Coturnix japonica: one gene and its partner. The protein of the gene in region 1 purifies or fractionates together with the protein of each later gene. This does not show direct contact. Links are inferred from orthologs where the notes say so. Each region holds a gene or a part of one and is shown in the gene's direction. Other genes may lie near its edges.

The links. Proteins that work in one complex are often made in the same cells at the same time.
Region 2: the proteins of RPS6KB1 (region 1) and EIF3B purify together in Homo sapiens (affinity purification with western blotting; 3 studies listed by BioGRID and IntAct, with this or other methods). This does not show direct contact. The link is inferred for Coturnix japonica from reciprocal best matches to the Homo sapiens genes RPS6KB1 and EIF3B.

Annotation. Positions count from the first base shown.
Region 1 is NC_029534.1:6,133,894-6,138,652, forward strand, and holds the start of RPS6KB1 (ribosomal protein S6 kinase beta-1), read left to right. Parts: upstream 1-1,156; 5' UTR 1,157-1,323; coding exon 1,324-1,395; intron 1,396-3,396; coding exon 3,397-3,446; intron 3,447-4,486; coding exon 4,487-4,607; intron 4,608-4,759. Other genes in the region: TUBD1 (tubulin delta chain), read right to left, coding at 372-543. UniProt on the Homo sapiens protein: Serine/threonine-protein kinase that acts downstream of mTOR signaling in response to growth factors and nutrients to promote cell proliferation, cell growth and cell cycle progression.
Region 2 is NC_029529.1:3,199,012-3,203,996, forward strand, and holds the end of EIF3B (eukaryotic translation initiation factor 3 subunit B), read left to right. Parts: intron 1-311; coding exon 312-437; intron 438-944; coding exon 945-1,022; intron 1,023-1,469; coding exon 1,470-1,578; intron 1,579-2,159; coding exon 2,160-2,263; 3' UTR 2,264-2,282; intron 2,283-3,383; 3' UTR 3,384-3,956; downstream 3,957-4,985.

The DNA of each region.
Region 1 (4,759 bases):
CACTAGATTCAAACAGTCTAGGCCCTACTCAGCGGTGCTATCTGCCTACAGCAGGAAAAGCAGATGTTTGGAAGAGCAGATCATTTATGCATACACGTCCTGTCTCCAGCTCTGTTACTGGCAGATGTGCTCTGGGGCCTCAGTTACTCTACCAGCTGTGACTTTGCTTCTGTAGTTGTAAGCAGTGTCAGGAAGGCAGAAGGTTGGGACAGTTCTTCCAGACTGAAGGTAGAACTTGGATGGTGTCAGTACCAGGCAGGAAAACAGACCCTCTGTGGGACACAGAACACCTAAAGGCTGTATCCTCTGTGGGACACAGAACACCTAAAGGCTGTATCCTCTGTGGGACACAGAGCACCTAAAGGCTGTACCTCCAGACTCTGCCTCGCTGAAAAACCGTTCTGTACAGGCATGGTGGTAGGCTTCGTTCTCCTTCTTGGAACACAATCCATGCGTGCCACGGACATCACCACAGATGGTGTTAAACACCTCCTGACCTATTTGGTTACCACACTGCCCAAGCTGGACTGTGACTATTGACATTCTAATTCACCTCGTGTTTGGCCCTAAACAAAAGAAAAGCACGATGGGGGGTTAAAAAACCGATGTTACAAAGGTTCTCTCCCCGCACAGGCCGCTCCCGCCCCCCTGGCGCTGACAGGGCCCCTCACAGCGCCGCGATCTCCCGCCCGCTCCCCACAGCCGCCATATTGTCGGGCCGCCCCTCACGTCTCTCGGCCGCCCTTCCCCTCCCAGCTCCTTCCTCCTCGCCGTTCCCTCCCTCCCCGACCTCTCATCAGGTCGATGCCGGCTCAGGGGGGTGGGTTGGGCGGGTTCCACACACTATGGCCCCTCCTCAAGGCTGACGAGCCCCCTGCCCGCCGCGCCTCACTGGGGGCAGCCCGCAGTGCGCATGCTCAGAGGGAACTCGGCGCAGTTCGGGCACAAGCGTCGGGCTGCGGCGCTTCACAGCGCGCACTACGCATGCGTTACGCACGCGGCTTCGCTGCGCAATCTACGCAAACTCCGTACCGGGAGCGAGGGAGGTGGGCTCATATTGCGCATGCTCAGCTTCAGCTCTACGCCCGCCGCCCGGCCGAGGCCCTCGCCGCGCATGCTCAGTGCGGCACCTGCCGCCGCAGGATGGGCTTGTGCGCACGCGCGGCGCCCGCAGCCGGGGCGGGGGCGCATGCGCAGTGAGGCCGGGCGGCCGTGATGGCGGCCGTGGCGGAGTTGGGGGGTGCGGGCCCATGAGGCGGCCCAGGCCTCGGGCACTCAGCGCAGCGAGGAAGGGGCGGCCACGCCTCGGCTCACACCCGCGCCATGGCGGGCGTGTTCGACATCGATCTGGACCAGCCCGAGGACGCGGGTTCGGATGAGGAGCTGGAGGAGGGGGTGAGAGAGGAGAGACCGACCGGAGCGGGGAGCGGGCGGGTGGGGGAGGCCGCAGGGAGGAGCGGAGACAGGGGGAGGAATGAGGGGGCGGCGGGGCTGGACGGGGCGGCTGTAGGCGGCTGTAGGCGGCCAGAGCGGCTGAGGCGAAGAGAGGCGGAGGCCCAGGCCCGGGCCCGCGCAGGTGAGGCCGCGCCCCGCCCCGGCTGCGGCCCGTCGAGCTCCGGCCCGTCCCTGCGGTGCTTCCATCGGTACCTCCGCTGCACCGCTCGCTAATAGCGGCCTTGTTCCGGCGGAGAGTTTTACCCTGAAATGTTCGCGGTGGGTTTTGTAGCACGAGCGTGGCAGCGGGGTTTGGTGTCACATGTGGGGACGTCAGTGCGGCTGTGCTCTCGTCTCTCTGGAGCTGCGTGCAGGCATCGCTCTGGCGCCAAAATCAAAAGCAAAGCTTTGAAATGCTGTCCGGGGTCTGAGCGTGTCCCCACATGGGTCACTCCGTCATCTGTATTTATTCTTCTATCATACTCATTTAGATGCTTTTAAGGCCCCTTCGGGTATCCTCTTGCGTGGTCGCTGTTAGTATCTAGTGTTATTTATGTTAGCTCTAGTGCTACCGTTGCTTTTATATGTTGTTGTATATATTAAATGTTTGCTAGTGCTTAAGCTGCTGCATTCCTGCTATGCTATTTGAATACCAGTCATTGGGATTAGCAGACACCCCAAAGTACAGCTGCAATATCACACTGCATGTGAGCTGCAGAGTCTGCTGGCTGAAGGCAGGGCAGTGCTCAGGCTGTGGGAGAAATGCTGTCTGCTATCCCAATAATCAATACAGGACCTGGCTTACAAACGTCGGTTGCAACACAGCACCTGCATTGCCAAGAACAGGTTCTAAGAGTAGCACAAAAATCCTTGTGGCCCAGCTTCTGTGCACAGTGGCAACCTAATGCAGTACTTAGGTGCCTCTGGGGAGATTAGGGTGGACTTGAAATTAAAACAGAACTGGGGAGAGGGGAACATGTGAGCGTGAGGAAAGTGTGAGTAAAAGGTGTTTTTTTGTAGTGATTGTGCGTATCTTAGAAGGATCTGAAGGACACTGAAATTCATCTGGGAACGCGATGGGTGTTTATTCTGTTTGTTGAGTTGGTGGCTGTTTTGAATTTGTTCCTTGTTGTCTCATGGTTGGGTCAAGGGCACATTTAGCTGGTTCTGTTGTGAAACAGATGGCAGGGGGCTGGGTTTCTCTAATAAACACTAGCAAGGGGATGTGAGCAAGCAAACCTCTGTCCTGGAATCAGACTCGAACTTCATTCAGGATTCTGGCTGTGGATTCCAGGCTGTAGATTTGAAGCTGTTCATCACTGACTCGCAGTTGCTGTTTTATGTATATATTTTTAAAACTGAAAATGTAACCTGTCACAGTCTGAAGTTTGTTAGAAGCTTGCCCATTAAATTCTATTTGTATTCCTTCCAGCTGTCTGCTTGCTTTGCACTTCTGCCATGTAGAGCCACATTTAGAGCGAGGTATTATCTTGCATTAGGGGTCCAGCTGAAAATTGTTTGAAGAAAATATGCCTTCAAAATTGAACTGCATTCTTTAATGGCGTCTGGTCCTGCTGTTGAAGTGCTTGAGCCTTTTTAGAAATATTTGTGCATTAATCTGCCTGAATGATTGTTGATCAGAAAATACATACAGGACCAGAGTGTGTTATTACTACTGGGCTATGATTACCACCAGACCTCCTGCATCAGAATTTAAGCTATGTGGAAGCGTTGCAACTCTTGGACTGTATTTTTTAGGCTTGTTGTCTTCTGCTCATAATTAATGATTCTTGATATTTAAACTTGTTTAGTTATATATACATAAACATATATGTGTGTGCACATGTAACAGAAACTATATGTGTAAACATATTCACACATGTAAAGAAGCTGTAAAAGACATGTATTTTTAACTATGCTTTCTTATGTTGCATTTAATCTTCCTTCTACTCCTGTCCCCAGGGTCAATTAAGTGAGAGCATGGACCACGGAGGAGTTGGCCAATATGACCTGTAAGTTGCTACTAAGAAAATGTTCTGTACCATTCATGCCAACTACGTATAGCCTCTACTTTGGTTACATTGTTAAGTTGAATAGGAAATTTTGTCATTCTTGTTCAGTTTGAGTTGCTTTAGTTCTTTTGCTATTTCTTCACATTAAAGTTTGTGACTGTATGTAAAAATAATAATAAAACAAATTCTGGCAAAACCTGCTGTTGTCTTTAATCCTTGTTTCTCCTAACATAGCTGTTGTGTTGTATTTGAATAATACTTGCAGTATGAGTGTAGTGCCCTCTTTGCAGAACATTCTGTGTTCTGTCGGGCTTATAGAGGCTCTGGCTGCATATTTGCACAGCAGTCTGAAGTAGATGAGAATTCAGTTCTGATTTGATTGCACAAGACAGCTACCTTTAGCCATGCTTTATGTATAGATACCCAGCTTGTTTTCAGTGTCCCACACGTAACGAGAAAGCAGCAATAGTTCAAACAGTTCAGTTACCTTTTCTGTAGCAGGGTCAGGTGTTGGCCTCACCCTGTCTTTTATAGAAGTGTAGTATGATTTAGAAACATCCTTAAGTTGTGGATCAGTCTTCTGTGGCACGTTCAGAGTTGTGACTTCTTTTGTTTTAGCTTTTTCTGCACAGTATTTGTTACAGAAGTTATATTGTGACTGTGGGGACTGCTGGATGTGATTTAAAACTCAAACACACCTTGCAGCATTGTTATCTTTTGGGAATGTCCAACTCAGCTTGAGTTGTTGGCCGTTCAAACTTAATTCTGGTACAATACAGAAATATATGATGCATTGAAATGAAGGCATCTGAAGGAAATCTTGATACAGGCAGATAGTCTTTTGTGCAAGCTGAAACATAGTGCTTTGCACACACAGAGCTGTAGTTTCTGATGCTAAAAATCCTCCTTATCTCCAAAACAGTCATTCAGATATGTCAGTTTTAGCGTGAGTTTTGCCGTAAGTGGTTTGCTTGCTTACTTTTCTCTTGATCATTGTCAAGTACCAGGTAGTCTTATATTCTTGTTTCAATTTTATCCAGTGGCATGGAACATTGTGAAAAATTTGAGATTTCAGAAACTAGTGTAAACAGAGGTCCAGAAAAGATCCGACCGGAGTGCTTTGAGTTACTGCGCGTACTGGGCAAAGGAGGCTATGGAAAGGTAAGGGACTCTTTTCTACAAAGATAAACCCCACTATACTGAAGGCAGTAAAAGTGCTCGCCTGCCACACTTGGGAAGGTCTGACCTTTCCATCCCATGTTCTAAAAAGTTCCTCCTATGCATTTCATAATGAGTAATTGCTTTTGTATTGG
Region 2 (4,985 bases), on another chromosome or scaffold:
GATCCTCTTCTGCACAGGCAGAGAATGTGAGAGTTTACGATAGAAGACATTCCTTAGTTTTAAAGTGTGGGCATCCAGAATATAACTTCATGCAAGGATTCAGTTGAACAGTTGAACTCCATTTTGCTGATGAATTTGGCTTGTGCAAGGAGGATGTTAACAAAAAAATCACGTTGTTTTCATTGACTAATGATGCTACTTTTATTATGTACAAATGAAATGTTCTTAATATATCCTTATAAGATATATAGTGAGAATGAGAGTGTTAAACTACAGCTTGCCTTGGTTGAGATGTTACACCACTCTTGCAGGTGGACAATGCATATTGGTTGTGGACTTTCCAAGGACGTCTGCTTCAGAAAAACAATAAGGACAGGTTCTGTCAGCTTCTGTGGAGACCACGACCAGCTACCTTGCTCAGTGAGGATCAGATAAAGGTAGTGTATTCCACTCAATCCTATTGGACATGGGTTTGGTGTGTATGTATATACAAACCAGGGTTTATCTTCCTTTCCTTGAGAATGAGGCTTGAACTGTTAGAGCTGTAAGATTGCTTTTCTCCCTGAGCTTTTGAAAAACCATATTGCCATAGTGGACCTCACTTATGGGAGTGACTGATAAATATTAACTGTTCTTTATGTTTGGAATAGAAACGGTAACCAGTTGTGCTTACTGTTGTGATATAGTGAGAGGATGTGAAGAGTAACACAACTGAACATAACCTGTCCAGACTTCTGTAATTGAATACTTACAGAGATGTTTGTTATCTGTAAGCTTGGAAGAACAAATAAAATAACAGTGGAGAGGAATGGCCTAGAAAAGCAGTTGTTATGTTAAGTATGCTAAGCATACTTAAAACTGCCAGGGAAATTCTTATTAGAATGTGATGATTGTGTTTGTTAGTCTTACTTGAACCTTAGCTGAAATAAAATTCTGTTTTACAGCAAATTAAGAAGGATCTGAAGAAATACTCAAAGATATTTGAGCAGAAGGATCGCTTGAGCCAGTCGAAAGCTTCAAAAGTAAGACTTTTTGAAATACAATAACATAAATGAAGCTCTTTTAATCTGTGCAATGTCATTGTTGTAATGGTCATATATGTTAGATTTCTTTTATTATGAACATCTGTGATCGTGTTAATCCAGGTGCTTAGACTTGCTTCCCATGGGTAGTGCACACAGATGCCACTCAGCTTTCAGGTTAAGCGGTAATGAATTTGTAGAGACACCGGTGATAGCTCAGTAAGCAGAAGTGAAAGTTTGGGATTCTTAGTTACTTGTTGTATTAGACTATTTAATCTAATAAAAAAGCCTTTAAAAACAGAAAAACAAACCCTTACCAAAGCAGCTCTTAAATTACATAAACGGTTTTAAGTCAGTGGAAAGGACTGAAGAAAAGTTTTCCTTGCTAACAAATGCATTTTGCATGCATTTTGCTTGTTATGAGTTAACAGCTTCTTGCCTCTGTAGGAGCTGGTGGAAAGGAGACGTACAATGATGGAAGAATTCAGAAAGTACCGCAAGATGGCACAAGAGCTGTACATGGAGCAAAGGAACGAGCGCTTGGAGCTTCGAGGAGGTGAGCCACATGCAGTACTTGTACGGACTTGATGTTAGATAGCTACCACTTCTTAACAAGTATCAACTGTTCTGCTAACTCGTTTACTTTTTCTCTCTATTCTTTTCCTGCCAAACTTTTTCTGGAGGTTTTGTTCTTGATTTTTATTTTCTTAAATCACAATTAATTTTGATTAATTAATTAAAACTGAAAGTGCTGGCTGCCAGACATGGCTGCCTGTGCTTTACGTATCTTCTTTCTGCTTTGAGGCGAGCCTTGGTTTGACCTTGGCATAAGAGATTTGGATGTTACGTATAGCCAAAAAAGTCCTCAAGAACTCTGTGGTGGGAGACAGCAATGCCTTATTTGTCACGCACTGACATTATACAGAATGTCAGCGATTGGAAGGGACCTTGAAAGATCACCTAGTCCAATCCTCCTGCTGGAGCAGGAACACGTAGATTAGCATGTCCTTGTTATGATTTGAAACAAGAAGTACCTCTCATTTCAGTGCTGTTTTAAGAACTGTTCCTACAAAGATCATAGAATCATTCTCTTGTTGCTGTGTTTGAGGCATTGTGTTATTCCTTTCTCCATTCCAGGGGTAGACACGGATGAGCTGGACAGCAATGTTGATGACTGGGAAGAGGAAACTGTTGAATTTTTTATCAATGAAGAAATTATTACCCTTGCAGAACCAGAGTAATCTAATAAATTGTGGTAAGGTAGCTTTCAGAAAAGAGGAACTTTACTGTCAACTGTCACTGTAAATTAATTTGTTTCAGAAGGTTGTCTGCTTGTGCATGAATGCATGTGCTGTTCTGAGTTGGTTTGCTTTGCTTTATGTGGTTGAAGTGAACAAACAAGAGCTTTCTTAAATACAGTCACAGACTGTCAGATTTATGAGCTGTACTGGGTGGAATACTGTCTACGTCCTATTTTGCAAGAGTAATGACTGCTGTGACAACCAGGGTCAACTTCTAAATGGAGCTCCTTGCAGGCTTTTCAATTTCTGCTACTGACAGAACTCTAACTTAATATAAGACTTGAAAATTTTGTTTTTTGTAAGAATTTCATGCTAGGTAATATCGGACAGGGCTTAAATAATATGCTTAAGGTTGTACAGTACGTTAACTGCGATAGAACTTGAGCAGGTGTTTAGATGTCCACATGAAATCTATGATATTCTAGAAATGATTAGAAATCTGGCAGCAGCTCCTTCTCTTGTCTAACCTTCACTGCTTGCTGCTGAAATCTCTATTTAATCCAATGATTTCCCATGTTCTGCTTTACAAATTCATATTGTATCTTTGTATGTTGAAAACAGATGCTGGTTTCAGCAGCTCCTGTAGGAAATGTTCTCTCTTTAAGGAGCTGGAAATTGTACTCAGGAGGGAAAAGAAAGTTTACTGGTGAAGGTATTCACATGGGACTTTACACAAGAATGTAATTCAGGTTTTCTGCCATGTTTAGGACTTCCTTTAAGGAAGGGGAGACTGGAAGCATGCCTTCTGCAGCTGTCACTGCACAGCTTTGTAGCCCCTGGATATCCAAGGAGTCAAAATATGGAGCTGTTTACCTCTTGTAGAAAAAAAATAATAGATTTAATATTTAGAGATTAAAATAAATCTAGCTTATCTATGTTCCATATGTGGGAGATACCTTATGGAAGGTAGAGGGAGAGAAGCTGCCTTGTTTCTGGACTTAAATACCAATTTAAGAACAGGTGAAGCACGTACTTTGTAGCCTTTCACCAGCTAGCATCTGCAGTAAGGTTGTTTGTAAAAAGCACAGCAACTGACTCATCTCTTCTTTCCTTTTTGCAGCACCATCGTAACTTGTGCTGAAAAGAGGTTTGTTCATTTCCAGAAAGTCTACATCAATTTTGGAGTTTTTAATCCATATTCTTACACTCTGGAAGGGTGGATGCACCAGATTTTCTCCATTCTGCCACACTGTAGTGCCTTTAAATCTTGCTGCCTGTTACAGTGAGATATTGAAAAGGCACTGCTTTTTAAATTTTTATTCTTTTTTTTTTTTTTTTTTTTTTTGAAGGGTTCAATTTTCTTTTTAAATCCACTAATACCAGTATTTACTTCTGACTCCTGTGCAGTACTTCCCAACTGGCATTTTTGACTTCCTGCCAGTGAAGTGGGATTCATCAGCGCACATCTCTTACCCACAATGTTTCTGTTTCAGGACTCTTTTTATGTCCCGAGTGCATGGACAGGTGTTCACTTTGTTTGGGGAAAAGTCGACAGATCCATTTTTCGTATGACATGTTTTAGTGTGCTGAAGCAGCACTACAGTGGGCTATATCCTCCTCCTTTCAGATTGTGAAAGGATGTCTCCCTCAAAGAGCTGAATATGGAAATAAAAGCAGACCGATACTAAAACCAGTCTGTCTGTGTGTTGTTGTTCCTAGGGAATCTTTCCCTAAATGATGAAATATACCCAGATTAATATGAATGTTAGCTATATTTGCTTTACAGTTGCTTTGGATTGTGTTTTCTCAGTTTCCCATGGCTATTTCTTTCTCGTGTGTTGCCATGGTTTTACTTTGTGTTTACAATGATATTACAGCTCATTATAATTAGCAGGATAATTTGTCAAGATTAATGGAGTGACTAGTAGAAAATAAATTGGTTTCTTAAACCAATTGGAATCTGATATGAGCCTTGGGAACTCCTGGAACAGTCTCACTTGGTCGTGAATTTGAAAACTGTCTGAGTAGTGTTTATACATGTGCCTTAGGCTCCATCTTATGTGTGTTACTTCATTTCTAAAGCTCTCCCTGTTTAGTGGTGAAAAGTGCACAGTTGGTGGAGCAACTTTTCAGTATTCATATCTATGAGCAGAAATTATTTTCCCTACATTAACAGAGCAATGAAAGATGTTGCTGGCCTGCTGCTTTCCTTGTGAGGGCTAGAGGGGAATGAGTATTTACCTGTCCCCTTTCCAGGACTGGCCAGTGAAATTGCTGGGTGCCTGAGCTCACTTAACGTGGTGCTTTATCTGATGGACCTGAAGTGGAAGGCAGTGGAAGGCTTCTTGAAAAGGAAACCCCTACTCAGCTGTCTGCAGCTAAGGGACATCAGCATTTCTACCAGTCACTTTTCTCTGTCCTTAGGTGAGCTTGCTGTGATCACAAATGCTCAAATCTCTCAGCTGACACTCGTGTTCCCTTCATCAGGAAGGCTCTTCAAAATTATTGTTCAATAATGATATTAACCTAAAGCATCCACAGGTCATTCTTATGCTATCAGAATTTTTCCCTAACGTCTGTTTTAGTTTCCAGTGTCTGAATTTGTTCATTCACAATCAATATGTACTTCATTGAGATAAAACTTAAATCCACAGTGCTTACCAAGCTCATCCTTCAGCTGCACTGGAGGAAGAACTTTCTGCCACAAGCAGTGCAGGACTTG